Diceros bicornis minor: one gene and its partner. The main gene of each other region encodes a partner of the protein of the gene in region 2 in a complex. Links are inferred from orthologs where the notes say so. Each region holds a gene or a part of one and is shown on either strand. Other genes may lie near its edges. The genes, in order: MAPK12 and PTPN3.

Region 1 (14,839 bases), on a different chromosome or scaffold from region 2:
AGCCCCCACATCAGGGCTCTGTGGGCAGGGGAGGGTGGGGGGTGGGGGAACACACACACGGGGGTTCGGGGGGATGGAAATGGACACAGGACATCTAGCCTGCCCCGTCCTCGCCTGGCTCCCATCCCAACTCAGGAGCCTCCCTGCGGAGCAGCCACCATGGGCCTTCCTTTGAAGAAATAGGGAGGCTGGCACAGTGGTGGCCCTGAGACTCTAGGCAGTTTCTCACCTGTCTGTGTGTAGTGCATCCAATTCAAGATGACCTCAGGCGCCCGGTACCACCGGGTTACCACGTATCCGGTCATCTCGCTGTCTGCCTGCCTGGCCAGGCCAAAGTCCAAGATCTGCAGCCAGAATCAGGAAGGTGGGGCAAAGGGGCCCCCAGGGAGTGGGTGGGCCAGGCTGTGGTCCAGGGGACCCCAAGGGGACTGGGCAGGCCAGGGCCTCCTGCCAGCCCTCCAGGGCCTGAGGTCATGGCCAGGGATGCCCAAGCCTCTGCCAGGATTCCTCCCCACAGCCAGTGCACCCAGCCTGCCAACCTTGCCTTCCCCCCACTCTTAGGAGCAGGTACCCCAGGGGGTCTCCTCTTCCTGCTCCTCCACTCTCCACTGACCCCCAGGACCTGGCCAGCACCTTTGGGGAGGCCATCTCGATCCTGCCCTGATCAGGCATGGGGGACTGGGGACACATCCCACCCTTCCCTTCAAGCAGGGATGGGAGTGTGCTCAATGCGCCCCATCGAGTGCCTCCCCAGGGCCCATCTGCCTATCCGCTGCTCGACCACTGCCTGGATGGCTGGGGTCTGGTCTCTCTGCCTGGGCCTGGGCCTGGGCCAGCCCTCCTGCAGGCCTGAGGGCTAAGGATGCAGCAGGCAAACGGGCAGGTGGGAAAGGAACCCCTGAGTCCCCGCACCTGACACGCACCTTCAGCTCACAGTCCTCGTTCACTGCCAGGTTGCCAGGCTTCAGGTCCTGGGCAGAGGGAAGGTGGCCATGTGGTCCTGCCCACCAGGGTGTACAAGAGCCAGAGCCCGCACAGCAGCTGGATGTGGGAGCAGCCACACTCGGCCGGCCTATGCCTGCAGCCCTTCTCATAAGGGTGGAGGTGCCTGGGACCCCCAAGGCTGTGTGCAGGTGTGGTGCACACTCCCCACTGGACCCCATCATGCTCCCTTACAGGGGAGAAATGGAGGCTCCTAGGGGTCGAGCCCCTCGCACACCCACACAGCCAGGACTCACCCTATGGATGACACCAGCAGCATGGATATACTGTGGGGAGAGAGAGAGGGTCAGCAGAGGTCAACTTACTGGGACCTCAGAGCCCCAGCCCAGCCTGGAGGGGCTCTGCCTGCTCCTGCGGCTTGCCCCCCGCACACATGTCCCCACCTTCAGCCCCTTCAACATCTGGTAAACGAGGAACTGGATCCGGTCCTCACTCAGCTTCTCATGCTTCATCAGCTTGCCCAGGTCCGTGCCCATGAACGGCATCACCAGGTAGCTGCAGGGGTCAGGGCGGGGTGCAGACAGTGGGGATCACACCTACTGGGCCTGGGCCCAGGCCCAGACCCCGGGAGGCCCCGTCACCCACAGCATCAGGCCTCCACCTCCCACGTTGCCACCCCAGGCTCCACCCACCTCCAAGGAGTACCCGCGGCTCCTTCTACCCACCCGCCCTCCCCAGAATGTCAGGCGGGTAGAGGGAAGTCAGAGCAGCGGTGGGGCCAGTGGGACATTTGGGTCAGAGGGGCAGGCTGGGCAGGCGGAGGGAGAGAGACAGAGGGGAGAGATACTTAGCACCCCGCCAGGACACTGAAGCCAGTATGGTCCTCGACCTCTGCAAGGTCGGACGGCAGGAGCCTGGCCTTCCCAGCCCAGCCCCTGGCTCTTGGCTGACAACAGTGTGAGTCCAGAGGGGGCCGCCTGGGCAGCCACAGGGCAGGCTCAGCAGGGGCAGAGGGTCCTCCCTGCCACCCCTCCCTGCCTGCCAGCGAAGGCCAGCAGCTCCAGTTACACGTCACATACTCGGTGCCAGGGTCCCAGAGCACAGGACCTGCCGGCCAGCAAACACTCAGGCCCAAGGTTCGCACCTCCAGCACTGGGGAGGGCCCAGGGCCAAGCGTGGCAGGAGGCCCAGGCTCCACCCGGATGTGCCAGCGCCGTGGGTCCAGGGGCACGTGGCAGGTGGGTGGACTGTGCTGTAGGGAGGGGGTGGGCAGGGTGCATCCCGACCCCCATCCAGGCTGCAGGGAGAGACCTGTCTCAAGTGGGTCCCCACACCAACCCAGAACACCCAGGAGCCACCCAACACTGCTCTGCCCTGCCCACCAGCCCCGGCCAGCACTCACAAGTCTGTGAAGTCATCCAGGGTCTCGTCAGGAGTGAACACGTCCAGCAGCCCGATCACCTGGGGAGGGGCCGGAGCACCAAGTGGGATAGGGACACAGCGGAGGGCGCGGGAGCTCGAATACACCTCTGAGGCTGATACGGTGCTCAGGCAGGAAAGCCCCCTGCAGCTGTACCCGTCTCCCCCTACTGCCTGGCTCTGCCCACTGGCAGCACGACCCGGCCTGGCACACATGCCCACAGACACAGGCTATTTTTGGATGGTGACAGCTGGGATCCTCTGGGGGAGGGGCAGCCCCAAGTCTGGGTCAGCTTCCAGCCGTCCAAGGAGCTCCAGCCCCTTGACCCTTCCTCCCCCTTTTCCTGTCCTCCTTGAAGACCCAGGATCAGGGTGGGGACAGCCCCTTGGGGGAGAGCTAGAATCTGGCAGGTTCTTCCTTTGCTGGAGAGGCCCAGGCGGGCAGCACTATGACCAAACCCCTGACCCCAGAGACCCCTGGTCAAAGGTGATGGACAGCAGACAGGTAATGTGACAACTGGCCCCAGGGCTCAGAGTGACAGGGCCTCCAGGAACCCAGGGAGGCCTTCACATCCGAGCGGTTGGCAGGGGGGACACCTGGCAGAGGTCATGTGGATGGTGGCCGAGGCAGGAGGGAGAACACTTCGAGCGTTTGAGGAACATGGGGAGGGAGGCCAGGTGGCCGAGGCCCAGGCCAGGGAGTAGCCAAGGAGAGGCCAGAGGGAGCCGGAGGAGGCCCTCACAGCCAGGTGAGGCTTGGCTTCCATCCTAAGAGCCACCGAGGAAGGGTTTAAACAGGCATGATACTGAATGTGTCTCCCTGGCTGCTGTGTGGGGGCAGACCGGAGTGAGGTAAGAGTGAACGTGAGGTGGAGGAACAGCTAGATGACCATTGCAGCCACTGGGGCCAGAGCCATGGGCAGCAGGGGAGGAGAGAACAGAGCAGGACATCCAGAGAGGGGCCTGGGGCACTGGGAGGGTATTGTAGCAAGAGGGAGGAGAACAGAGGACCGGATCCCCGAGATTAAGGGGATTGTCAGGTTGACGGAGACTTCTGTGCCTCTGCGGTGCAGATCGCAGCAGAAGTAGGGGAGAAGGAGAGGGAGAGGCTTGAAGTGGAGGGCGGAAGGGGCAGGACTAGAGCACGTGGCAGCCGCTCCACAGCCTCTCAGAGCCTGTTTCCTCCCAAGGAAATGGGTTCACAATAGGCCAGCCTCCCAGCTTGTGTGTGGGGTGCCTGGAGGCAGTGCTGGGTGCTGGCGGGTGAGGAGCTGGATGGGGATGGTAGGACCCACCGCACAGTGGGGTGGCCCCAGCACAGGCTGGGGGGCAGGCCCCAGGAGGGGGCTGGGCCAGATCAGGGGTGGGAAGCAACTGAACAGAAGGCCCAAAGACCCTGCTGGATGAGAAGGGTGGGTGGGTGGGAGTGAGGGGCAGTAAGGGAGAAACCGGATGAAGCCTGTCTGCCCTCACGGGGACAGGCCTGGGTGTGACCAGGAGGTAGTGAGGCCAAGGCTGGGCTGGGGTCCACCATGAATGGATTTCACCTGGGAAGAGATAAGGGCGGAGACGGGCAGGCTGAGAGAATGAAGAGCCAGCCAGGGGCTAATAGGGTGGGCATGGGCATCAGCCAGGAACCAAGGGGACAAGTTTCCGGCTGGACACAAGGACTCATTCCCTCCAGGGAGTGCTGGCGGCTCTGATGACCCGGGAGGAGTCAGACCACCTGTGGGTGCCCAAACCACCATGCCTCAGACTGGGCCCAGAAGTGGGGTGAGACAGGAGTGGCTTCTGTGGGAGGGGGCAGAGGTCATGGCCGCAGGAGGATTGCATCAAGAAACAACAGGAGCTCCCCTGGCGGAGAGAAGGGCTCTTAGCAGCCAGCAACAGCCACGAAAGAGGCCCATGGCAGCTGTGTCCCACGGGCAGATGTGGAAACAACTGGTAAGCGCCCAGATCTGTCCCTTCCCCACTGTCCGTGAAGCCCCCATGGACATGAAGCCAGCGTCTCTGCGCCCAGTGCCCTCCACACATCAACTCTCTAAACCCTTTCACCACCCCAGACCCCAAGGCTCCGAGGTGACAGCCAGGATGCTGACTCCAACACTATGCCTGCTCTGTGTTCCCAGGGCCCCAACTCCTAGGGCTGAGGCTCAGGAGGTAGACTGGAGCAGAGTGGGTTCAGGAGGGGCTGGACCGGCTGGAGAAGGGGGCCTGCGGTCGGGCAGCGGGGAAGAGGATAAGTGCCCCTTCCAGGAAAATCGCTCCTCTCCCTGGAGCGTCCTCTAACTTCAGGCTCCTGGCTGGAGGCAGCGTTTGGGTGAGACATGGATGATCCGCCTGGGCAAGTGGCCGGCCCCTGACCAGAGCCTGGGCTTAGGAGCCAGATGCGGCCCCAGGAGGAAGCCAAGGAGCTAAGTCCTGCCCAGGGACTGGCCTAGGAGGAGAGGACCAAGCCCTGGGGCAGCAGTCTCCCTCAGAGAGAGGAGGGGCTCTGCCCTCACCAACTGGAGCCGCCCACCCTTCTCGGGGACAGTGCCCTGACACCCGCCCCACGGCACAGGGGGACGCCTAGGAGCCGGGGAGGAGGGCGACGAGCGGCGCCGACGGACGCGGCGTCCTGAGCCCAGGACCCCGCGCGACTCACGTTCTCGTGGCGCATGTGCTTGAGGAGGCGCAGCTCGCGGTAGGCGCGCTTGGCGAACAGCACGGACTGGAAGGGCCGGTACAACTTCTTGATGGCCACCTTGGCGCCCGTGCGGCTGTCCACGGCCGAGCTGCGGGACGCACCGCTTAGCGGTGGGAGGGAGGGAGGGCCGGGTCACCCCGCCCAGCCACCCGCGCGGCCTGCGCTCACCACACGGCGCCGTAGGCACCCGAGCCCACGGGCTGCAGGTCCTGGTACACCGCGCGCACCTCCCAGGCCGTCTTAGTCACCTCTTGGCGGTAAAAGCCCCTGCGGGCGGGTGGCGGAGAGCTCATGGCGGCCCGGGCACCGCCCCCGCCGCAGACCCCACGGGCGCCGCGCCCCGGGACCAGGAACCGGGATCGGCGGGCTCCCTGGGCGCGCGCCGCGGGCCACCGCGCGGGAGAGCCGGTTCCACGCCGCCCGCCCGCCGCCGCCGCCGCCGCCGCCGCCGGGCACTGCCGCTCCCGGCTCTTCCCTCCGGGTCGCCGTCCTCCAGGCTCTCCCGTCCCGCCGACCCCGGCCCGACCCAGCCCCAGACCGCGTAGCGCGCGGCCCCTCCCCTGCCTGCGGACCAACCGGCCCCCGGGCCGCGCGCACGTGACGCCCCCGCCCGCCCTCGGCCCCTCCGGAAACCCGAGGCGGCTGTGGCCCGGGAGCACCCGAGACTGGGGGGAGGGGACGGAGGGGGAGGGAGCGCCGCCCCGAAGCTCAGTCCCAGCCTGGAACCGGACCGGAAGGGGTGTCGGAGACCCCCGGCTCGCCCCCGCACTCAGGCTGAACCCCCGGGCCCGCGTCGGGGGTGTCTTAGCTTGGGGCTCCTGTCTCCTCCTCACTAACCATGCCCCCAGGGCGCTGGGCCCGTCTTGGGCAGCCTGAGGCCGTCGGACTTCTATCCCCAGCCCTACGCCACTGTCCAGCAGCCCGCCAACTTCCACCCCCCCACACCTGAGCGCCCCCCACCCCCGCCTGATCCATCCATTCCCCAGTGTGAGGTCCCCAGCACCTGTGGGGTCCGTATGGGAGAGCTCGTTCTGTCTCCCAAACTTAGGCTGCATCCCCAACACCCCTCCCTGTGACCACAGACCCCAGGCCTCCCAACCCCAGGGAGCCAGAGAAGGTGGTCCTGTAGGTTCCCCTTGGGCCCTGTGCACCCCAGCTCCCTTCTCTCCCCCTACTTGGCATGTGGGGAGCCTGCTGCGAGCATTCGCAAGTCCCTCTGCGCGTCCCAGCCCCTGCCCAGCTTATTCCCTCCTGTTTGTCCTTCAAAGCCCAGCCTGAGCCTCTCCGCTCTCTCCAGGAAGGTGTGCCTGACCCTGCGGGTGAAGGAGGGCCCTACTGGGCCTCTCAGCGCCCCCTTACCCCTCAGTGGGACCCATCCTGGACCAGATGCTCCTGGAGATCAGAGCTCCCAGCCCCCTGCCACATCCTCCCCTAGCCCAGCGATGGGGGTCTGAGAAGGAGTAGGGTAACAGGATTCCCAGGGCCCCCTGTCCCGCCCTCTGTGCCCTGCCCAGCTGGCTGCCATGAATCAGCAGCTCAAGCCTGGCCAGAGCAGCTTTACACCTGGGCTGCTGGTTGGTGAGGCTGGTGATCCAGAGCCCTCAGGAGTTGGAGGTCAGTGGAGGCAGCCTGGGGTCATGGGAGCCACAACCGCCTGTACCCGTGCCCTTCATGCCCTGGACTGCCTGTGGCACTCTACCTGCCTCCTCCAGGAAGTCCCCCAGCTGGACCCCTTATTCCCTGTGCTGGGGCCCAGGGTCCAGCAGGGTTGCCTATCAGGACACACCGCCAGATGGGGCTTGTTCCCGGGGTTCTGCTCCCATCCCCCACCCCACCCCCAGGACTTGGCCCAGCCCAGTCTCCGGAGGTTCCCCAAGACTTGAGGCCCACTAGCCACACTGACCAGGCCCCTGGAGGCCCACTTCCCAGATAGTCTCCACCACCCAAGACCCAGGGCAGGGGCACAGAACGTCCCTTTCCTGGGGACACCCTGCCTGATCTCTGTCAGGACTGGGTCGTTGTCCCCCCCGCCCCCCAAGCTGCAGTGAGCAGGAGGTCGAAGGCTGAAGTGGCCCTCTTTCCCCTTAACCAGGAAAAAGAGGAAAGGTATTTCCCCCACCCAGCCCAGCCCAGCCCAGCCCTGGGAAAGGCCTTTGCTTCCAGAGACCCCCAACTGTCACCCAGTGGCCACCCTGACCACTGAGTCGAGGGGCAGTTCTGCATCTGGACCAGACGCCAAGCCTGCCCAGTGAATCCCCAGCTACCCTGCTGGGGTCAAGTTGAGGGTGGCCATCATACCCTGTCCCCCTCAGAGCCCACTGGCCTGGGTGGAGGACTCACCCCCACCCCCCACCCCCAGGTCTGCCTGGGTTCTCAGGGAGCAGGGAGCGTGCCGAAGATGGCTGCTTGTCTCACTGGGGGCCCAAGGGATCTGGCTAGTGCAGGAGTCTGGTGGGGCCAGGCCAGCTGGAGGTGTGATGCTCGGAGAGCCAGCCACCCACTCCAGGCAGTGGGGAAAGAGGGGCAGCAGGGCTTGGAGCCTGGGACACAAGCTGAGCCAGAGGGAACCCCCTTTATTGCGAAACCCTGGTGCAGGCACTTGACATTCAGACCTCCCTGGTCTTGCCAGGTGATAGGTCACCACCTGACAGAGACTCACACCCACAACACGTGTGGAGCAGGGTCCTGGCCCAGAGGTTAGTAGGTCAGCTCCATTCTGGAAGGAGGGAAGATGAGGGCAGACCCTCAGACCAGAGCACCCCAGCTCTCAGCTGCAGGGCCAGAGGGCGGGCAGAGGTAGAGCAGGCAGAGGCATCTTCATCAGTCAGGGCCACAGTCCAGGGTCAAGTCCAAGTCCACATCGGTGTGTGCCCTCCTTCTTAGCATCCTCAAGGTGGGAAGCCCCGTGCCCGTCAGCTCCCCAACTCGCACTGTGCCCCATGCCTTGGAAACCTGGTGCAGCTCCCACACCCAAGGAGAGAGCCCCGGCTCTTGCTCCCGTGGTTGCCCCTTCTCCACCGGAGCCCCTCTCATGATGCACAGTGGGATCTCAGCCCCACCCCCACCCCCCAGGCATCAGGAACAGTGGGGAGGGGAGGCAATAGTACAGCCACCCCAATTCAGGCCTCCTGCCAGTCAGGCCGCTGGGCCTTGGGCACCCACAGGTGCACATACGCCTGCATGTGCCTTGAAGTGCGTCTGTGCCACACACAGCGCAGGTGAACATGCAGCTCAGGTGGATTTTCTGATTTGACACCTGGCAGCTGTCCCCGCCCTGCCACCCCCCAGGAAAGACCCTGCTCAGCTCTCAGACCATCAGGTCTCAGCACTTCCCAGGGTAGTGCCCGCTTCCAGGCTGAGCAGCTCTGACCGCTGCGACCCCTCCCTTTGAGTCTCCAGGGGGCCCTGACGCCAACGCACCACCCCCAGAGACAGCCCTCCAGGACTAAGGAGATCTGGAGACAGACACACTCCCCAGGAGAAACCCATACGGCATCCAGTCCCCCAGTGAGGTCCCAAAGGAGACCCAGGGTGCTGGGAGGGGGTAGAAGGACGGTGGAAGTCCAGGACACTCTGCCCAGACTCCTACACCCGTGGCTCGCACGCATGCACACTTGCATGCATTCACATGTGTGTGCAGACTCCCCACAAGGAGCAGTGTGCAGACGGGGCGTCCCTGGCCAGGGATCAGGGTTGCCGGGCCATCAAGGTGGCGCCCCTTGTGGGACCCCAAATGCTGAGGAAGGGGGGCAGGCAGGCTCAGGCCCCTCGTTGAGTTTGAGTGTGGTGATGGGCAGCATTCCCCTCACTGCCCAGTCTCCTGGCTGCCCAGCGGCTGCGGTGGCTCTGGGGGCTCGAAGCTCAGGACTTCCTGGTAGGTGAGCTCTGAGGGGTGAGGGGAAGGAGGGGAAAGGGTGAGCTCATGCTGCCACCAGCCCAGCACCCCTGCCCAGCTTATCTGGTGCCAGCTACCCAGCCCAGGACCACCGTCCTCCGAGAGAAGCCTCAGCTCCTGGGCCTCCTTCCAGAGCCTGCCCTGTGCTGCCCCCAAGCCTCCGCTGGACACACCCAACCTCATCTCTAGCTGTCCCACCAGGGCATCGGGCGGGGGTGGGGGGGGTGCGGAATGTTGTCCCTGCTCCCAGACCCCCTGGGGAGGAATGCAACCCTGGGATCCTGGGCTCCACCTCCCTCCTCAGCCCTCCTCAGGCCCACCCTTCCACTCCTCCACCGTGCGCTCCTTGGCCTCAACACTTTCGTCATAGGGCTCGGCCTCGGGCTCATCATCCGGGTCGTGGTACTGGCTGAAGTAGGCATGGGCCAGGGCCTCAGCTGCACTGATCCTCTGGTCACTGTCCAGCACCAGCATCCTTCCCAGGAGGTCCACGGCTGCAGAGGAGCCAGTGTGGGGGGGTCAACTCTGCATCCAGGGCCAGACATGGAGCCCAGCCCAGACCCCAAGCCCATCCTCACCCAGGGGGTTGGCTCCACGGAAGATGCTCCTGAGGTCCTTCTGGGGCATGGGGGGCAGGGACTGGATGTACATCCGGGCCTGGGAGCACATGGGAAGGGCCTGAGGGGGCTGCTCACCCCCACACCTCCCCTAGCCCTAAGCCAGAAGGGGGCTTGCCAAAAGAAGCCCCAGACTCATTCACTCCCACAGGCCTGGGCAGGGGCATGCACAGACCAGAGACCTCCCCTGCTTTGGACCTGGGGGCTCCAGCTCCTCGCCTGGGCCTCAATGCCTGCAGGACCTGGCACGGTGCCGCCCACCGTCCTTGGCCAGGGCGCTGTTTGTCGGTGCTGCAATTCTGCCCTCGCCGTCCCTCGTGCCAGGAATGTCTTCCCTGTTCACCTGTGTCCCCCTGAAGGGGTCGGGCATCTTCCTTGGGCTCTGTTCCACTGTGACCTCTGCCCCCACATGGTGCTCAGTCTATCCCCACACTGCCCCTTCCTCCAGAGTGCCAGGGGCTTGGTCAGCAGAGGGAGCTGGTGTCCGGTGACTCACATGTTCCGAGGATATCTTCGCCAGAACCTCGGGGCTTGGTGTGCCCACCACCTCCATGATGCGCTTCAGCTGGTCAATGTCTGCCCGGCTCAGGAAATGACCACTGGCCAGGCACGGACCCTTCCCGGGCCCCAGAAGCCAGATCTTAGGGCACTGCCCAGATCCTGCTCTCCTACAGCTGGGGACAGTGAGCCCAACGTGGCACGCAGTGGGGCAGACGAGGCAAGACTGGCCAGAAAGGGCCAGAGCCCCCCTCCCTCGACCCTACCCCACAGAGGGGCCCCTGGTTCAACGTTCCTTCCCAACTTGGGCCAAGGATACAGTCGTTTCCTGGGAAGAGGGCCTTTCCCTGGAGCAGCTCGGCCATGATGCAGCCCACAGACCAGATGTCCACTGTTGAGGGAGGGTCTCCATCAGTCCCCAGTTCCTCCTCAGAGAGCTAGTGGGCTGCTTGGCCTGTGCCAGCCCAGTGGCCTCTCAGTCACACCCAGGCCCAAAGACAGCAGGCCCTTCCTCCTCCACACAGCCCTGGGCAGGCAGAGGGGTTAGCCCATGACCCAACATGCTCGGCCCCTCCAAAGGTCTGTTTTTGAATGCTGGTCCCAGACCTTTCCTGTCCCCCAAGACAGGACACACACCTCCAAAGTCCTTGGCTTTTGGCCTCACCCCCACTCGCCCTCCACAGGCCCTGGTGTGAGCTCTGCCTACCCACCCCGGTCCCACGTGGCTGCTCCCATGCGGGTTGACATCACCTGTCTGGTTGTAGTGCATCCAGTTGAGCATGATCTCAGGTGCGCGGTACCAGCGTGTGGCCACGTAGCCAGTCATCTCCTCGTCAGCCTGGCGCGCTAGTCCAAAGTCCAGGATCTAGAGCGGCCACCAGGGTTGTCAGCGCATGCCCCTCCCCGCATACCCCTCCCCACTGCCCAGTGCGCCCCACTGCTCACCCTAAGCTCGCAGTCCTCATTCACCGCCACGTTGCTGGGCTTCAGGTCCTGCAGGGCAGGCAGGGCGTGAGCGCAGGAGGAGTCCTGCAGCCAGGCCTGCAGGGAACCGGCCCCTCACCCCTCGGCCACACCTACCCGGTGGATGATCCCTGCCGAGTGGATGTACTGCGAGGGGGAAGGCGCAGCGTCAGGTTCCCGTGCTGCCGTGCCCCCGTGCCCCCCGCACCTCCCACGCCCCCCCCCCCCCAAGCCCACCTTCAGCCCGCGCAGCAGCTGGTAGACAAGGAACTGGACATGCTCGTCGCTCAGCGCCTGGCACTTGACAATGTTGTTCAGGTCGGCGCCCATCAGGGTGGTCACCAGGTACCTGGGTGGGTCAGGGATCAGGACTGGCCCGCCGACCCCTCCCTGAGCACACTCCCGGGCCACCCATCCTCTGGCCTCTCACACTTCGCTGAAGTCCTCGATGGAGGTGGCCGGCGTGAAGACGTCCAGTAGCCCGATGACCTGGGCGGGAAGGGAAGTCAGGACTCGGCCTTGCCCACAGCGGCCCTCAGGCTGTGCATCCCCCACGGGGAGCCCCCAGCTCACGTTCTCGTGCTTCAGGTGTTTGAGCAGCCGCAGCTCGCGGTAAGTCCTCCGCGCGTGGATCAGCGACTGGAAAGGCCGCGACAGCTTCTTCACCGCCACCTTCTGGCGCAGCCGCGCGTCGTAGGCCGAGCTGCAAGGCGGGCGAGTGAGGCGCCGGTGGAGGGGCCCAGCCGGTACGCGGCCCCAGGCCTGTCCGGGCTGAGGGCCGAGGGGCAAGGGTGGGGTCCACGCACAGACGCTCCCGGCAGCTGCTCCTCCACCCCTGCTCGTCCACTGCTCTCCTCCCTCTGCGCCTTTGCTCTAAGGGACTCCTTGGAGGGGGCTGGACCGCCGGCCACCAGCAGGTGCGCCTCTGCGGGGCCCCAGGGGCAAGAAGGTGACTGGCACGTGGGAGGCGCTCTGACGACAACACTCCCAAACAACACTCCCACGAAACCTCTTCTCACCGCCCCCTCGGGTCCTGCTCCTTCTCAAGAGGCAGCTCACCCTCCACTCCACCCCTTCACCCCCAGCATTCCCATATCTGCAGGGGCCCAGCCTGCCCCACCTGGGAGCCCCAGGGCAGGACCTGGATCTTCTCTTGTCTGCTCCTCCCAATGACTCTCGCCCCCAACTCAGCACAAGGCGGGGGTGGGGGAGTCTCTGCCAGCCAGCCTGGAAATAACACGTCTGGGAAACAGCCCCTGGCATGTCCCCAAGCAAACGGTCCTCCTCCTCCCCCATGGGCCTGTGGGTGCAGGAGACTCCCCGAGGGGTTCTAGAGCTGCCTCCAAAGCCCCTGAACCCCCAAAGCCTCTGAATATTCAAAATACGGAGGAAAAACTGGCCACAGGATTTACTGCATCGTTTCTAACAGTGAGAAACTGGCCAGCAGGGAATGTCCAGCAGTGAGTGGTATCTGGACCCACAGAACATCTCCCCTTGCCCAACCTCACTCCCCAGGGGCAGAGCCTCCACCTCTACACCAGCCTCCAACTTATCTACTCTTCACAGGAGCCCAACAGTCACTGGCATTATCTTCAAACACACATGGTCCAGCCACTCCCTACCCTCCCACCCTCCCATTGCCCTCAGGATGGGGGCCCTGCTGAAAGCAATGCCTTTGCACAGGCTGTTCCCCCTCACTGATGCTCATCCCTTCCCCGAAGAGTGAGTGGAGCCTCAGGCCCCTCCCCATGCCCACACCGCCCCCAGGAGCAGCTCCTGCAGGACAAGGGATGCTCACGGGCCCAGAGGGTGGTGGAGGAAAGCCAGCTCTGAGCCTGGGGCATCTGTGCCCCTTCCCCTAGCCTATGACCTGCTGGGGAAGGTCCAAGTCACTCCTTGGATTCCCCCTCCAAGGATCGTAGGGGGAATGGTAGGTGTCTCTGCTCAGCCCTAAGCCACAACCAGGCTGGGAAGTAGGGGAGTAGCCCCTCATATGGGGCAGCAGATCCTTTTGCCCAATTGCATCTGCCCAGTCCAGCGACAGGGAATTGGCACTGGGTTGCCAGCCTCATCTGAGGAGCGAGAGAGCCCAGCAGGGGTCATCACTAGCATAGGGGCCATGCTGAGGTAAGGGCACTAGAGACTCAGGCCACCTTTGGGGAGGGTGACACTCCCTGGGAACTCCCAGAAGGTTATCCTGGGCCGGAGGCAATTCCAGCAGGGGCTCTGTCAGATCCCCCGGAGGGCCACTCACACATTGTCTCTGACTCTCTTCCTGCCTTTGAGGTCTTAGAGATGAAGATGGAGGCCTGCCTGAGGTTCCTGATGGCTGGCAAGTGACAGTGTGACATCGGAGGCCCCTGGGACCCAAGCCCCTGCTCCAGGCTCCAGCACTGGGCCATGGGAGGGGATCCAGGAAATCCCACTCAACCTTCTGCCAGAGCCTGGACAACACTCCACCCCCAGCCCTCCCTGCCTCCCCACCCCCATGACCCCACAGAGGCCAGCCCCACTGGGTTCTGGGGGGAGCACCTCTCAACATCCACTCCCAGGATGAGCCTCACTGTCAACATTGCAGCTGCAACCGGGACTCCCGGTAACCACTGAGCCCAAGCGCCCTCCCCCAAACAGAGGCTGCCCCGAATCTGCCTCCCCCGCACCCCCCCCAGTCTGTCGTCTGTCTAGGCCCCAGGGCCTAACTCCCTGGCTGTGATCTGAGCTGTCTTGTTTGGGGCAAAAGTGGGGTGGGGTGGGGTGTAGACCCCCCTAAGGATTGTAGGGCAAATGGTAGGTGTCTCTGCTCAGCCCTAAGCCGCAACCGGAGTCTGAGACCCCTTGGAAAACCAGAGAGGGGGCAGGACCCACGCGGGAGGCCATCCAAAGCGGAGGAAAGTACCCAATTAGGGCGGGGGCATCTGCCTGACCCTTGACCGGGGCACCGGGCTGCGTGCTCGGACGTTTAGGGGCCCGGGAGACCTCCCCTTTCGCGGGCTGTGACGCCGCAGGATTCGGGCCTCGCGGGGGACGCTCCGGGTGGGACGGAGTGGGAAGACGACCCCTCTCCCTGCCCGGGAGCGGCGTCCAGCAGAAAGTTTCCCTCACGCCCCCCGCCCCTCATTCATCTCTCCGATCCGCGTAGCGCCGGGGGGCGGAGGCAGGGCCAGGCCCCTCCCCACGCCGGGAACCCCGCGCCGGGCGGGGAGGGGGCGCGCACTCAGTCCCGCCCCGGCCCCCGCCCCACCCCGCCCGCCCCTACCAGACGGAGCCGTAGGCGCCCGAGCCCACCGGGCGCAGCCCCTGCAGCCGCTCCGGCACCTCCCACACCGTCTTGTTCAGCTCCTGCCGGTAGAAGCCGGCGCGCGGGCCCGACATGTCCGGAGCGGCCGCCGCTCGGCCCGCGCCCCGCCCCGCGCCCCCGCCCCGCGCCGGAGCCCGAGCCGAGCGCACGGAGGGCGGCGGGAGGCGGCGGCGGGAGGCGGCGGCGGGCGGGGCGCGGGGCGGGGCCGGGGAGGGGGTTCCCGGAGTCAAACGCGCGGCTTCCTGCCCCTGCGAGGCGGCGGCTAAGCGGAAACCAACGCTCCCCTCCCCTCCCCGGGGCGGTCCCAGGGAGGATGAGCCCGCGCTGGGGGAGGGGGCGGCCAGAGGCCGACTTACCGCCCCTCAGGCTTCCTCCTCCTGGGGTCCACACATCTCCTCAAAGATCCGCCCGCGTTCTGTCCTCGGTCCGGGCACCACCCGATCCAGGCCGCCACTGCCTCTCCCTTGACTGCACTCCCCGCACCCTCCCCTGGCGGCACCGGCGCCGGCACCTCCCCT
Region 2 (15,218 bases):
CATTTGCGCAGGAGGTACAGGTGGAAGTGTGAGCACTGCAGGAAAAGAGAAGATAAGGCCTAGGGAAACTCTGGTCCCCTGCCCCACCTCACTCACACACCCTGGCTCTTAAATTCCAATAGAATTCGGTTAGTGGGAAGCACAGCTGGCTTGTTTGTCCCCCTTGTGCATCCATCACAGGCCCCGTCCCTCCTCCTCCATCCAGCCTGGGTATGTAAGTGATGTTCCAGGCTCTGCCAGTCCCTGTGGCAGGAAGGAGCAAGCAAGGCAAAGCTGAGAGAAAGCTGGTGGAGCAGGTGCAAAGCTGAGGAGGGGCATGCCAAGGGAGATGCGACTACAGAGGTGCGTGTGGACCAAAGCCACGAACATGGGCCCAGCATGCAATGCCAAGGAGATCAGTTTTGTCTTTATCCAGGCAAAGGATTCCTGGTGCTAGAAGGGTTTCTGGGCTGATCCTCTGGCACTGATCTCCAACCTCAAAGTCACGTTTGCCCAGGGAGTCCCAGAGGAGGCTACTCGATTAGATGTAATTCTCAACAGCACTCCTTTTATTCTCAAAATGTTTGGATGATAAATTCTAGTTGCCTTATTCTTGGGCCCCTAGGCCTGCGAAGTTCAAGTCGCAGTTAGAGAAGGCTGTTCGGCGTTGGGAGGGACCAGGCTGAGTCTCACCCCTCATCAGATGTTCCATTCTCCTCTCCAGCATCCCTCCCAAGCCATCACCCAGCATCTGCTTGTATACCTGCAGAGACAACAGGCTCACTACTACACCTGAGAAAGCCTCTCTTTTGGGGGGAAAGCTGTGCTATAAAAATAGCAAGATTTAAACCTATAAACAGTGTGACTGCAACTGAATAATAGCCTTCAGCAAGGAAAGGAGTAGGAGTGGGGGAAACTAGAAAACCTGCTGACTTTTTTCCTTCCATCTCCTTCCATCTTACCACGTCTTCATTCAACAAATGTTTACCGAGTGCATTTGATGTTCCAGTGGCACTGGGGACACTGTGTGAGTTAACACAGACACACTCAAATTGAAGGGCACTCTAGGAAATAACTGGCCTGTACTCTCCAAAAACGTCAAGGTCGTAGAGGACAAAGATAGGCCGAGGAACCGTTCCAGTTTAAAGGAGACTAAAGAGACGTTACAACCACATGCAACACAGGATCTGGGGTTTTCTTTGCTACAAGGGACACTATTGAGACAAATGGCAAAACCTGAATATGGCCGAGAGATTAGATAACAGTATTTTTATATTGTATCAATAGTAAATATTATACAAAATATTTTATATTTTAATCAATATAATTTATTGATTCTAAAAATTAGACTGTAGTTACATAGGAGAATGTCATTGTTTTTAGGAAATACACTGAAGTATTTTGGGGGAAAGGAAGAGTCTATAAATGATCTTCAAATGGTTCAGGGAAAATATATACATACAGAGAAGGATAAAATAAATGTGATAAAATGGGAACATCTGGGGAATCTGGGTGAAGGGTATATGGTAGTTGTTTGTTCTATTCTTGGAACTTTTCTATAAGTCTGAATTAGGTCAAAATAAAAAGTTAAAAGAAAAAAATAAGTCTCAGAGAAAGTTTTCTTTAAAAAAAGAAAGACAGACCCTGACTTCACAGAGCTCACAGTGTAGCTGGGGAGGCAGGTACTAATACAAATAATTACACTAATTAACCACAAAATTGCAACTGTGAAAAGTGCTGTAAAAGGAGAGAGATCTGGTGGCACGAGCGTTTATAGCAGGCAGTTTACCCCAAATCAGGAAGGCGAGGGAAGGCATCTGCAGCCATGGAACTAAGACCCAGAGGAGCAGTTAACTGCGGGCGAGCGGAAGAAGGTTCCAGGCCTCCACAGCCCCTGTGGCAGGTGAGGCGAGAGCTGGAAAAAGCAGGAGGATCAAAGCCCGCACACCGGGGCCTGCAGGAGACGCCAACATTCATTTTCTCTTTTATTCTAAGAGCAATAGGAAGTATTTTTGCAAGACCCCCTGGGCTGCGGACTAGACGACAGGCTGGCAGGTGAAGGGGTGTGTGGAGTCCTCGGCAGTGGTGGTGGTGGTGACGGCTGTCCCTTGAGGAGCATCATGAATGATTTTTCTTCTGCTCCATGACACTTTAATTTTCGACCACAACCATGTATGAATTTGATAGCCAGACCAGGGGAGGGAACTGGGGAAGCAAAGCGGGCAAGATCTGGGCTCAGGCTGTGATCATCCCCACTCCAGGCCCACCATGGGTAGGGTCAAGGGCTGGCTGACAGAGCTGGTTACCACCTCTTTCACCCAGAACCTGGGGTCTAGACCATGAGGATGACTCACCCAAAGGAAGTGGGGTGCAGGAGCCAGGTCTTCACACCCCACTCCTAAAGTCCTCTCATCAACACAGCATCCAGCTGGCCAAGGCCCCTTTCTGGTCCCTGGGGGAGGGGGCTGTCACTCACGCACAGCAACTCTCAGCACTGAAGCTAAACAAAGGGCCTGTCTGGAGGATCAGGGGCCCAACCACAAAGGGAGGGGCCCTTCTTGTACCAAGTTCTACCTTAGTGGGTTTTCAGTCCTTAGCTCCTTTACAATGGTCAATTTAAAGGAAACAGGTTCTATTATTATCCTCATTTTACAGTTGAACGATTTGTCTAGGGACAGACTTGGTTTCAAATCTTGGCTGTCTACATATAAGCACTGTGCCCCTCGGGCCGTCACTTCATCTCTCTGAGTCTCGATTTTCTCACCCCATCTGTAAAATGGGACTGGTAGGATTAGCAAGATTCTGGGGCTGGAAGGCACCATTTATTCCCTTTTGGGGCTCCAACAGGCTCAGTACAGAAAATTCACCCCAAACTACACATTGCTTAAATATTTACTAAAACCTTGTGTATCCTGACAGTAAATCATGGGACCTGAATTTTCCAGGACTATCCCAATTTCAAATCCTCTGTCCTAACTTTCCACATAAACCATTGAAATGCCTCAAAAATTCCACTCTCTCAGTATCCAAACAACACCTCCCAGGCCTCCTCTTGCCTAAAGAAGCAGTTCAAACATTCTTTTTCAGACTACAGATCCCAATCTTTGGTTCAGAAATTGTAGTCAGCGGAGCCCGGCTGGCCCCCCGAAGGAAACGGGGTCAGGGAGAAAAATCCGTGGCAGTCAGCAGTCCATCACAACTCGCAGACGCGGCTGTTTCCCGGCGCATCGATGTCAACTGCAGCCGGGAGAAGCCGTACCAGGATCAGAGCATCACCCACAGAGGGACACGGCCTGGGGAGGTGAGCTCTGCCCCTACCTACCAAGCGTCCGGGTGCCAGCGAGGCAGCATGGCCAGAGGGCTGCCACGAGGATGAAATGAAGGAGTCAGTATTTGGACAGCACTCAGCACAGTGCCTGGCAGCCAGTAGGTGCCGTACCAGTGTTTAATAACTAAAACCAGAGGCATCGCTGCCAGAAGGTGCTCATGCCTCAAAGACAACCCAGGAGCATCACTCCCACCCAGCCAAAATGAGGAGCATGGGCACTTTCTCCTGGGCTGGGAGGCGGGGCCCCTGTGCAGAGATGGCGCAGCACCCTAACTACAGGAGCCAACATCAGGAGGCTGCACCTGGGGAAGAGTCCCCCTCCCGAAGTACACACAGTCTCTTCACGCCTCTGAGACTGTGCTCCTGCCCTCTGCCTGCCCCCCAAAGGCCATCTTTTTCTACCCTCAAGGCTGAATGTAATGCCAACTGCTCCCAACGGTGTTCCTGATGCCCGTCAGAACAAATGGCTCCCTCCACTGGTCTCTCCTGTGTTTGGCTTTATCCTCTTTTAAAGCAGTTATCAGATAGACAGACGGACGGAGATGCAGATGCATGCGTGTACACACACACACACACACACACACACAGTGTCGCTGCCTTCCTAACTCCGCCATGCATCCTTCCAAGATAGGGGTTCAGCTTTCATCCCTGAAGCCCCAGAGACTGGCATACAGTATAGGCTCCATAAATGTCCTCTTTTGCTGTTAAATCTGTGCTCACGGCTGGTCTTAACCTGGAGGCCGAGGGTTCAGGTGCATGCCCAAGCAGAAGCTCTGCAGATGCAAGACCTCTGGGTCTTGGAAGCCATGACCAACCAGATTTCAGTCAGGGGCCTACCAAGCACTCCCTTTAGTGCCCCCGCGGGCAGATGAAAGGAGACACCTGTGAGATCAGAGCCTGCGGTTGCGAGGACCCAGACTAGAGCAGTGTGGACACCGAGCAGGTCCTGTCCAGTCTCCAGGAGAGTAGTGAGAAGAGCCCAAGCTAGGGAAGCAACAGCAGCAGGCTGCCTGCCCCCACCGGCCGTCAACACCAGGGCCACTGTGGGTACTGAGTGCCATAGGCATTCCAGCCCCTGCAACAGATGCTGGGGAGGGATGAAGAGGGATCAACCCTGCTTTCCAGAAACCACTGTCTGCTGGAAGGAAGGCAAGCTCTGGGAATAAGGTCAACAGGCACTCTCCTAGGTAGAGAAGGAGGGACCACAAATTGCTGGTCCCCTCCCAACCTGCCACAAACCCTGGGGGAGGGGGTAGAGAGGGTTTCATGTCCTCCTGCTCCCTCCAGTCCCCAAAGCCAAGTCCCTCTGGTGACTTATGTCCCTCCTAGAAAACGGAATCCCTCGGGTGCCTGGACCCGAGGTGCAAAAGGTCACAATTCGTCCCTCTTGCTCCTGGCCCCACACTCCCTTTGCTAGCTCAGTGTGCTTGTCTGCAGGGGCAGGGAACGCGACACTGAAATGAAATAATGTACGTGAAACCTCCCAGTTCACAGTCAACCATCAAGGAGCTGGTCTCAATCCCCAGAGACCAATTACCAGCCTGGGACCCCAACTTCTTTCGGGGATATGATTTGTCTCTGACAAGGATCCTGACACTTGAATGAGAATGTTAAAAAGCTCTCAGAATACCTTTTCTATGATAAAATGCAGAAAGGAGGGCTCAGAGACAGGAGCGAGGAAGCAGTGCGGGATCCTGAATTTGCCTCAGTGTTACCTTGGGTTCTCTCTCCTGCCCCAAGCTGTCCCCAAGGGCCAGCCATGTGTCTGTCCTGGCCAGAACCTGCCTTCTCCCTGCAGAGAAGTCCCCCCAGGCACCTAGGTTCACTGGGGTCCCCTGGCCTACTCTGCATCCCCACCCAGCACTGCATCTACCATATAGAAGCAGCCCAATAAATGCTTGCTGACAAGAATTCCTCAGCCACTCCAAAATGCCTTCAGTAACGTGACCTTTGACATTCCCCAGCTAATGTCTAATTTGCATACAGGAGTCCGTTTTAGGAGACTGCAAATCAGGAGAGACAACTCAGGATCAATACAGAGTATTAGGCACATTTTATTCTACTCTAATTCTCTGCAAATTGGTATTCCATTAACTGTAGGTGGGATTTATGGGAGCTCATTATCAACTAGAATATTTAACTACAACGACCTACTCTCTGTCAGATCATAGCTTACGGTTAATTTTCAACTAGTCAATCTCAGAAAGGTTCTAGCTTTCAGTCTACTTTACATCATAATTTAATCATCAGGAAAGTCATCTATTTGCGAGTCTCCATACAATAAAGAGCAGCTTGATGTAGAAGAAAAAGACCCACCCGTGGAACCAGAAGACGTGAGTTACATCCCAGCTACACCACACACTGTGTAATCGACAGCTCAAAGCCTCAATTTCCTCATTTGTAAAATGTGAATAACACCAGCCCCACGAGGGAGTTGTAAAAACTAAATGAGCTGACCCATGTGGATGCTCTCTGTGCAGTTCTATAAGGCTATACAAAGGTTAGTTATTATAGTAAAAAACATAAGATGAAATTCCCAAACAACTCAGGCTAATGATAGAAAGCACAGTGGTTCTAAATCGGTGGTTCTCAAGAGGAAGACAGGCTATTTTGCCCCTCCTTCCCGGGGCCATTTGGCTGTGTCTGGAGGCATTGCTGGTTGGCACAACTAGGGAGAGGGTTTGCTACTGGAATTTACTGGGAAGAGACCAGGGATGCTGCTAAACATCCCACAATGCATAGGACAGGCCCCACAACAAAGAATTACCAAACTCCAAACGGTAACAATCCAGAGGCTAAGAAACCTTGATCTAAACAATCACTGCAAGTTGGGTTTGGGAGGTTTTTAGAACAGAAATCTTCCTCACCAGGCTTTACTTTCAAGCATCATCTGCTTAAACATTTGCAAGATGGATCATTTTGCAAAACAGCTCTTTTGCAAGTAAAGCTGAAGTGCCAACTTCTGGAGTTTCTGAATGTATAAAACTGCTTTTAAAGAAGATGCTCTCAGGTTACAATTCGGCTAAATTGTTTTTCCAAAGCCTTGACTTCAGCAGAAGTTCTCCTGGGCACAAAGACAGGGTCTGTCACTCTGCCACTAGGCCCTGAAGATGCTTTCATAATTCTAATTTCCTGGTGAAATGGGAGCCACGAGGGTCTCTAAACGAATTAAATTCACATCACGCCGCCAACTGCTCGCTCGCTTTGTGCCGGGCAAGGTGCCAAACACCTCCACATAATTTATCCCACTTAATCCACCCGACAACCCAGTGAGGTGGGCATCATTACCGGCTGTTTGCAGGGGAGGAAATTGAGGATCAGAGAGGTTAAACAACTCGCCCAAGGTCACCAGCTGGCCACGGGGGAGTCCAACTCGAACAGAGGTCTCCAGTTTCCAAGTCACAAGCTCTTTCCACCACCTCGGAAAACCCAGGTGTCAAGTTGTCTCAACTTCCCATGAATTTTTAAGGCAACCGCAACTTCTCAGTAAGTTTAGGTTGCTGGAAATGCGAATTTCCGGGGGGCTGGGCGCTCTCACATACACCCCGCCCCCCACTGCAGCTGTCTCAGCACAGGTACCTGATAAATCATTCGGATCGCCCGCGGAACGGGGAGGATTTATTGGCGCTGGAGTTCGTGCCAGGCCCAGGAAATGCCATCTTTGAAAGCCGAGAGGCGGATTCGCCCGGGGAGCCGAGAAGGGCTGGCCGCCGCGCTTGGCTGGCTCCCCGCGGGCTGTGCGCCCCCTCGGCGCCCGGGGCCGCAATCGCGGCGACGCTGGGCCCCCCGGGGTCGCCGGCCGCCCGGGCTCGGTCGCGCCCGCCCCTGCCCCGGTTGGAGCGCACGCCCACGCCCCGCCGCCGCCACCGCGTCCCGGCCGCCCGCCCGGGACAGAGCCCCACCCGGCCCGGCCTGCTCCCTCCCGCCCCGGCCCCGCCAGGTGAGCGCGGCGGGGGCGCCCCCTCCCCGCCCCGACGTGGCGCCCGCCCCGGGGCGGCCGCGGCCGCCAGCCCGCCCGCGCCTTCGCCGCGCGCCCGGGGCCGGTGGGGGCGGGGCGGCGCCGAGCGCGCCCCCGGCCCCGCCGCCCCGCGCCCTGCCCCCGGCCCGGGGGGTCGCGGCGGCCCGTACCTGCAGCATCCGGGGGCGCGGGGCGCCCAGGTAGGTCGCGCGTGCGGGCGGCGCGGAAGCTCGCTCGCGGCCCGACCTGGCCGCCGTCTGAGCATGCCCAGTGCCGCCCGCGGGCGGCTCCCGCCGGCCGGGCTGGCCGCGACGGGCCCGCGCGCCGGGCGGGGGGCGGGCGCCCGGGCCGCCCTGCGGGGCGCTCCCGCCCCCGCCCCGAGCTGGCGCGCCCGGACGCGCCTCCCCGGGCCACCCGGGCTCCCATGCCGAGCTCCGTGCAGCGCCGGCTCCCCTTGCGCATGCACGCAGGCATTGGCTCCATAACCACTTATTGGGCACCTACTGTGTGCCCGGCCCACGGTGATTCCATACCTAGGAATGTCAAGCAGTCGGCGTTCAGCAAATCTTTGAAATGAGGAGTCGTCTCGCCCAGCGGCTTTGTGGTTTAGCAGGGGTCCTGCTGACTCCCAGTCCAGTGCTCATCCCATTCCACTAGTAACCTTCCTGGCTTAAACCCTCTTCCCAAGATTTATAGGCCCCCTACCTGATCTGTGCTGCTGCTTTCCTCTTCCACCTCATCTCACACCTCTCTTCCTGCAGCCCCAGGAGCACCTTTCTGTCCATCAAACACTCAGAACTTGGATAGCCTCAGGGCACTTGCACATGCCTCTCCCCTCCTCTGTGTGGGACGTCTTTGTGCAGCTTTTCACGTGGCTGGCACCTTCTCATTGTACATATGTCCCCCTTCTAGGAGAGGCTTTCCCTGACCCCCTTACTAAGTTAGCCCCCTGCTCCGGGACACTCTCCATGTCCTCACTTTATTTTCCTCACATTTATCACCATCCATTAATTTATTCAACAAATAATTATTGATCACCTACTCTGGTTATTCGCGCGTGGTGAACAAATAGACAAAAATCTCGTCCCCTGGTGGAGTTTGCGGGAAGAGAGGCAGGCAACAGACAATAAACATGCAAATAAGCAAACTACTATATAGTATATCAGAAGGTGGTAAATTCTACGAAGGAAAAAGAGCAGGGTAAGGAGACTTGAGGGTAGAGGGAGTGCCATTTTCAATAAGGTGGTCACATTGGGCCCTTGAGAGGTGACATTGAGAAAGTGACATTTTAGCCACGCAGAAAAACTGGGAAGAGCATTCCTGGCAGAGGGAACAGCCAGTGTCAAGACCCTAAGGCGCAGGACTGCTTAGGCAATAGCAAGGAGGGCAGAGCAGCAGGAGATGAGGTGGGTAAGTGACTTTTCCTGATTTGCTTCCTTATTGTGTATTCACCTCCGGAATTTCAGCTCCGCGGCTGGAGCCCTGCCTGTCTTTACTGCGGTGTCCCAGCCCCTACAACAGCCTGGCACACACTAGGTGCTCAAAAAGTGTTTGGGAATGAATATGTGAATGAAGGAGTGGAGTAATGGCTGGAACCATCCTGTCCGGCCCCAGGTGCCCAAGGTCCAGGGGTCCGGTCGGCCCAAGGGCCATCCGGCGGCCACCGGCAGCACCTAGCACTTCACTTTGGTCATTGTCCCCGAGTCGCATGTTGCTGGGTAGCGCCACCGCTGCGGGCGTCGCACTAGCGTCGCGTCGGGTGAATTCCGACGGAGCCAGGGAGTCCCAGGAACAGGACCCGCCCCGCGTCCCGCCCCGCCCCGACCTCTGGTCCCGGGCAAAACCTGGAGGCGCGGCGCCCGCCCTGCACCACTGGGACGGGCGGGGAGCGCACTGGGCATGCTCGGAGCCGGGCGGGGCCCGAGCGCCCGGGAGGAGGAGCCTCCTGGAGAGGCCGGCGACGCCCCTCGCAGAGGCCGGCTCGGCCCTCGACCCATCGCTGTACCCGCCGCCTCTTAGCGGGACTTGGGGGCATTTTTTCCAAAGCTCGGTGGGAAAGCTGGAAATTCAGAGTCCGGGAGAGGCGTTCTCTGTTGTCTCCCAGCTGCTGTGTGATCTGGGACAAGCACCTTACCCTCTCTGTGCCTCAAATAATACGAATACCTACCGCTTCGATCTGGGGCGCATGTGGGGATTGAATGACATCAAGAACATGAACATGTTTAGTCCACTTTGAAGATCCATTTCTTGAGTGCCTACCTCCATTATCTGTCATCCCCATACCAGTATGCCAAGGGCTGAGATGAGGAAACGAAGGTTAATGGATGTGTGAATTCTTGCAGTTGTCTCAATTTGCTTTCCACCAGAAACTAGGCTGAAACCACCTTTTCTTTCCCCACGGTGAACACTCATTAGCTTTTATAAACAGTGTTTTCAAATTGAGCTAAAACATATCCATACATTTAAGGGAAGAAAACCTAAATCTTTTAAAAATTGTGCATTTCAAATCAGCATAACAGAAACAGGAACAAAATTAAAGAATATTCCCCAAACTGGAAACATGTCAGCAAATAGAGAAATGATTAATTAGGTTATGGTATATTTGTTGAAGTAACTGTTTTACACTAAGTTAGACCATATTGCAACAGGGGAAAACTTACAGTGCAATGTTAAGTGAAAAAAAGCTGAAAACACAAATATACTACGTAAAGATTATGTCCACACATTTACCAAGACTAAAAGGAAATATGGGAAAATGTAAATAGTCTGATTTGGGGGGTAGTGGTCTTGGTTTTTCTTTTTAAGTTTATCTATTAATGTCACAATATTGTGTTTGCAATGTTTATTATTTTAAAATAAAATAATATAATAATAACAAAAATAATTGCTATTATGAAGCTCAAGTGTGATCAATATTTTACACATATTCTGTCCTTAATCCTTATGGTCAGTCTACAGAGTGGGTGTTTCTAGCTCAGTTTTACAGAAGAGGAAACATTCTACGAGCTGTTCACAGCTGCTAAGAGGCAGGGTCACTATTTGGATATAAGTTGGTCTGACCTCAAAGCCAGGATGTTAGGTTTTATAATACCTCCTCTCTCTGTGTAGTAGCTTACCATATATTGATCATAAGAGAAAACACACATCATTTCCTTTTGTGTCTTTTTTGCCTTGTTTTCTCTACCCTTTGATTTGTTTATAGGCTACAGATTACCTTTAAATGTTCTGGTCCTCTGTTACTGTTTTATTTTGGGGGCCAAAATGGTAAAGTCCACCCTTTTAAGCTGTGGCCCCTGGAGTGACATGATGTTATTATCAGCAATGGCAGTTGATCTTATATCATAAGCTCACAAATCTTATGCAAATGGGGCTTTTGGATGGACACGTAATCTTCTTAGTCTATATAGTTGAACCCAGCCAAATCTAGAGCAAACAGAGGCCCAGTTGGGAATAGGACTGTACCAAGTCTCAGATAATGGGGCCAGTCCAGAGAGGACCCACCTAGATTACTGTCCCTGGGCAATCATTTTGGAGGCAGAATCACAACATAATAGAACCACATGGTCCATGGACTCCTCAGGACTTTGCTGTGATGAAAAGATACAGGGCCGGCGCCGTGGCTTAGCAATTAAGTGCGCGCACTCTGCTACCGGCAGCCCGGGTTCAGATCCTGGGCGCACACCAATGCACCGCTTCTCCGGCCATGCTGAGGCAGTGTTCCACATACAGCAACTAGAAGGATGTGCAACTATGGCATACAACTATCTACTGGGGCCTTGGGGAGAAAAAGGGGAAAAAGGGAGGAGGATTGGCAATAGATGTTAGCTCAGCGCCGGTCTTCCTCAGCAAAAAGAGGAGGATTAGCACGGATGTTAGCTCAGGGCTGATCTTCCTCACAAAAAAAAAAAAAAAAAAGATACAGAGCTGATAGTCCTGATGATGTTTGCAGAGAGAAAGCCAGGACCCTAAAAGCAGCCCTCCTACTGCTGACAAGCTAAAAAAATTGTCCGCTCTCTCTTTTAACAGTACCTGGCCCAGAAATCACTAAACAACAAGCGCAAAAAGCCAAAGAGGGTCATTTCATTGGAGAGGAAGATGTGCCACAAACCCAATATGCATCACTAGTAATGGACCAGATTCACACAAATTAAGAGGAACGAGAGATGAGCAGCTGAACACGGTTATTAGCAGCATTCCCAGAAGCTGCCATTTTGGCAGAAAATCTGGTGCCAAGCATTGCACACAGGCCATAGGCCGGGGGCATTTATGAGAAGAGTTTCCTGGAAGAACCACTGAGGATTGTCACTCACATCAAGACTCAGGAAGTCTGGGCACCACGTGGACTGTTTCAGTGATCCACAGGGCAGGGCTCCCAGCTGAGATGCTAATGCTCATCAATTATTTGTGCTGTTAATGCAAGCTGACGAAGGGCCCAAGAATCGGTAAATACGTGGGCAAGTGGTGCTGTTATAATGACAAGTGAAAAGAATACATTGTAAAATTATACGAGTAGTATGGCTTCAGCCCTGTGAATTACTAGGTTAAACCATACAAAATTGCCATTTTGTAGGTCAACAGTGGTTGAACATCGGCGACTTCCTATATTTCAACTTAATACATACACATAGGAAAAAGACTAGAAAGAACTACACCAAAATATTAATGGCGGCTCTGTCTGAATATTGCATGTATGGGCAGAGAAACAAGATACGGAAGGTATCTTTTACAACTCAGGACAATTTCAAGTCTTTGGGCATCTATGTCTTTGTATGTCTTTACGTGTAGTTCCCTAAATCTTAGTTTAAGATAAGTTTGTTTCTTTTATTGTCAGGAAAAATGAAACAAACTTAAAAGTTGGCAAGCCAAAGAAAATGAGGTAAAGAGAGAAAAAATGGCTACTCCAGCATTGCACAAAAATTTGAGCCGTTCCTTTCACGGAGAGTGGAGCCCGCCCTGCGTGCCCAACCGTGGCTGATGGTGACACGATGTCTGTTCCCGGCCCAGGAGGGAAGCAGAGAGAGAAGGGGTCAGAGGTCAAGTCAGAAACCTGCTAGAGAAGTGTTGGTCCAACTCGGACCCCCTCGGACTCAGCCTGTGTTTTTGGAGCCTCCTACACTTTACGGATCTCATTCTGAGAAACACAAATTTTTAAGCCTCAAGTTTTATCCATTCCAATCCAAAAAATATCTTTGCATTGCGAATTATCACTGCCAAAAGAGTTTTGTCTGTAAAACTGATGAACAAATTTAACATGAGTACAACAGCAGAGATGAGGTGATTGTTGTCCATTCGTTTACTCATCAAATATTTATTAAGCACCTACTGTGTGTCAGGCACTGTGCTTGGGAGACTTCAGTGAACAACACGAACAACAATGCATCCTAACAGGCAAGCCAGACAATGAACAACGAACATTATAAAAAAGTGAATGATACTGTATGTTGAGAGACCAGAGAGAGGTGTGACAGGAGAGAGATGGAGATGGGGTACATGGGGAGTTGCCATTTTAAATAGGACTGAGAGATTTAATCACTTAAGCAAACACTTAAGCAAAGACCTGAAGGAGATGAGATTGTTATTCATGCAGATATCTGGGGGAAGAATCTTCTAGGCAGAGGGAATGGCCAGGACAAAGGCCCTCAAGGGAGCATATGTAGAGTAAGGAGGCTGGTGGGGTAAGGGAGAAAGCAGAAAGTGGCAGGAGATGAGAGGAAGCCAAGAGTTCCAGGAGCCAGAACCCAAGGGCCCTCCCCTCGTCAGCCCCAGGAAGGACTCAGCCTTTCAGTCTGAGCTAGGCGGACGCCAAGCCCACGTAATGGCTGCCAAATGTGCTTGTCAACAAATCAAAAGTTAAACGCTGTCCTTTTAGATGGTCACTTGATGCCCACTTGACGATGAACGCAGATTCGAATAAGGAAACCGAAATCATGTGGCAGCCCTCTGTTATAAGGGAGTCAGCCAGACAATCCAGATTGTGTGTATATATTTTTAATATTATCATAGGAATGGAAAGATAACATTAAACAATTATTTTAGAGCATTCTCAGACCTTCAAGAACACTTGAGTGAACTCGCAGGGATACACGGACCTGAGTTTGAAAAACGCTTTTCTGGCACACATGCTGTAGATATGCCAGAGGACCAACAGGACCATAATAGACCCACGGACCACCACATAGATTTGCTGCTGCGTGAAAAACGGAAAGATAAGTCTAGGGGCCTTGAGAGCCTGCTCTTTGAGATCAAAGCATTGAGGATGCTTCTATCAACAGATGGCTGTGACTTTAGAAGCAAAGAGAAACAATGAGAAATGCAGAGAATGAAAGTTGGCATCCGGTCCTGTGGCTGACCGTTTTTAAGCAATGGCCTTCCCTGAAAGTGGTGGTATCATCTTACAAAACCCAGGGAGAATAGGTTTGTCAAGTCTCCCAACCACACCTTTAAGGTTCATATGCCCGAAAACAGGAGGAGAGAGAGAGAAACACCCAGGCAATGCAGAGTAGTCATTCAGAGGTCATGGCTTTGAAAAATCAGCAGTGATGAAGAAAACACTCGAAAATCTTTAATAGAAGTTTCTAGAGAGAAGAGTCAGGACCAATACAGAAGGCAGCATGTCTCAAAGTTTGATCCAGGAACCACATATCAAGATCACCTTGGGGGAAGGAGTCCTTGTGAAAAAGCAGACTCTTGACTTAGCACAGACCTTCTCAATCTCTCATTGTGGGACCCAGGAACCTGTATTTTATAGTTTACTGTAAAAATCTTATGCGTGCTGAAGTTTTATAACTTCTATCCTGTAGCTTTCGATGTATATATAGCAAGAACATAGTCTGAGTAATACACTAAGAAGATGGGAAATTTTACCAAGAGATTATTATGGTCTTGTAGGTATCACTGATGCTTGGATGGATGGGAGTAAGGACCAGAGCATCAACTTCTTAAAAGATGTGCACATATAAAGGGGTTGAAGGGGAGGAGAAGAGAAAATGGAGAAGGGCATCCCCTACAGGCACACAGGGACCCCTAATTGAGAGCTGTCAGGCTCTCTGCTCTTGATCTTGGATTTCTGACTCCATCCAACCGTGCTCTCACGCGGCCAGGAGCAGGCTAACCGTGTGACTGGAGAGGAGGCAGTAATGGTGGTAGTCATAGTGGTGGGATGAGTGCTAGAGAGCACACACAAAACTGAGGCTGGGAAGTTCATTATCTCCCAGAGTGGAATTGGACAAGTGGGGGTAGGGGAGGGATGGGCATTTACTTTTTGCTATAAACCTTTTTGTACCTTCTGAATTATCTACCATGTGATGTATAACCTATTTAAAAATAAAGAAGTTCTCTCTGGAAAAAAAGAATGATGTATGCACAATATGTTTTTAAAATTATTTTGTTTTACATTTTGGCTCCCTCTAAATTTTGCTGACCAAGCTCAAAGTCCAGGTTACTTGACAAGTCAAGGCTGTAACTATGACCAGGGTGCAACAATGTATAGCTTTCTGAAAAGAAGCAGCCATAGGTCAAGAACTCCTATCAGAAATGCATGTGGCTGAGAGATGGAACAGAAAAAAGAGCTTTGGATGAGGATAAAAGAGAAAGAAAAATCATTTCAGTGACCTTAAGATCAAGAATGATGCTTTCCATGGATGTTAGCTCAGGGCTGATCTTCCTCACAAAAAAAAAAAAGAATGATGCTTTCCTGACACAGTTGGTAACAAAATGGCCAGAGAAGTAAGATGGGGAACTTCAGCTACCCAGGCCTCGACTGGAAGTCGAATCCATGAAAAGATGGTCATCTGAAACCTGTTCTAGCTTGGCTGACCATTTCATCCCTGAGACACTGGAAACCTGATCAGGGCCCAGGAGAAAACTGTGCTCCCAACCCCTGGTGACATTTCAAGAACGGGAGATGCTGTTCAGCCTGCCCAGAGCTCTGGTGACCTTCTAGTGTTGCATGGA

The links.
Region 1: the proteins of PTPN3 (region 2) and MAPK12 are in contact, whole or in part, in a crystal structure (PDB 4QUM), measured with the Homo sapiens proteins. The link is inferred for Diceros bicornis minor from reciprocal best matches to the Homo sapiens genes PTPN3 and MAPK12. Residues at the interface, in NP_002820.3 of Homo sapiens: Arg655, Leu671, Asn674, Arg675, Tyr676, Lys677, Asp678, Val679, Arg751, His812, Ser843, Ala844, Gly845, Ile846, Gly847, Arg848, Met883, Gln886, Thr887; in NP_002960.2 of Homo sapiens: Met182, Thr183, Gly184, Tyr185, Val186, Val187, Arg189.

Annotation. Positions count from the first base shown.
Region 1 is NC_080764.1:540,834-555,672, reverse strand, and holds the start of MAPK12 (mitogen-activated protein kinase 12), read right to left. Parts: upstream 5,364-14,839; 5' UTR 5,344-5,363; coding exon 5,219-5,343; intron 5,139-5,218; coding exon 5,009-5,138; intron 2,404-5,008; coding exon 2,345-2,403; intron 1,498-2,344; coding exon 1,386-1,497; intron 1,269-1,385; coding exon 1,239-1,268; intron 972-1,238; coding exon 924-971; intron 345-923; coding exon 230-344; intron 1-229. Other genes in the region: MAPK11 (mitogen-activated protein kinase 11), read right to left, coding at 8,856-8,935, 9,266-9,439, 9,524-9,602, 10,059-10,138, 10,380-10,451, 10,811-10,925, 11,006-11,053, 11,141-11,170 and 4 more. UniProt on the Homo sapiens protein: Serine/threonine kinase which acts as an essential component of the MAP kinase signal transduction pathway.
Region 2 is NC_080767.1:18,388,306-18,403,523, forward strand, and holds the start of PTPN3 (tyrosine-protein phosphatase non-receptor type 3), read right to left. Parts: upstream 7,506-15,218; 5' UTR 7,436-7,505; intron 7,041-7,435; exon of another isoform or gene 6,887-7,040; intron 6,859-6,886; exon of another isoform or gene 6,596-6,858; intron 1-6,595.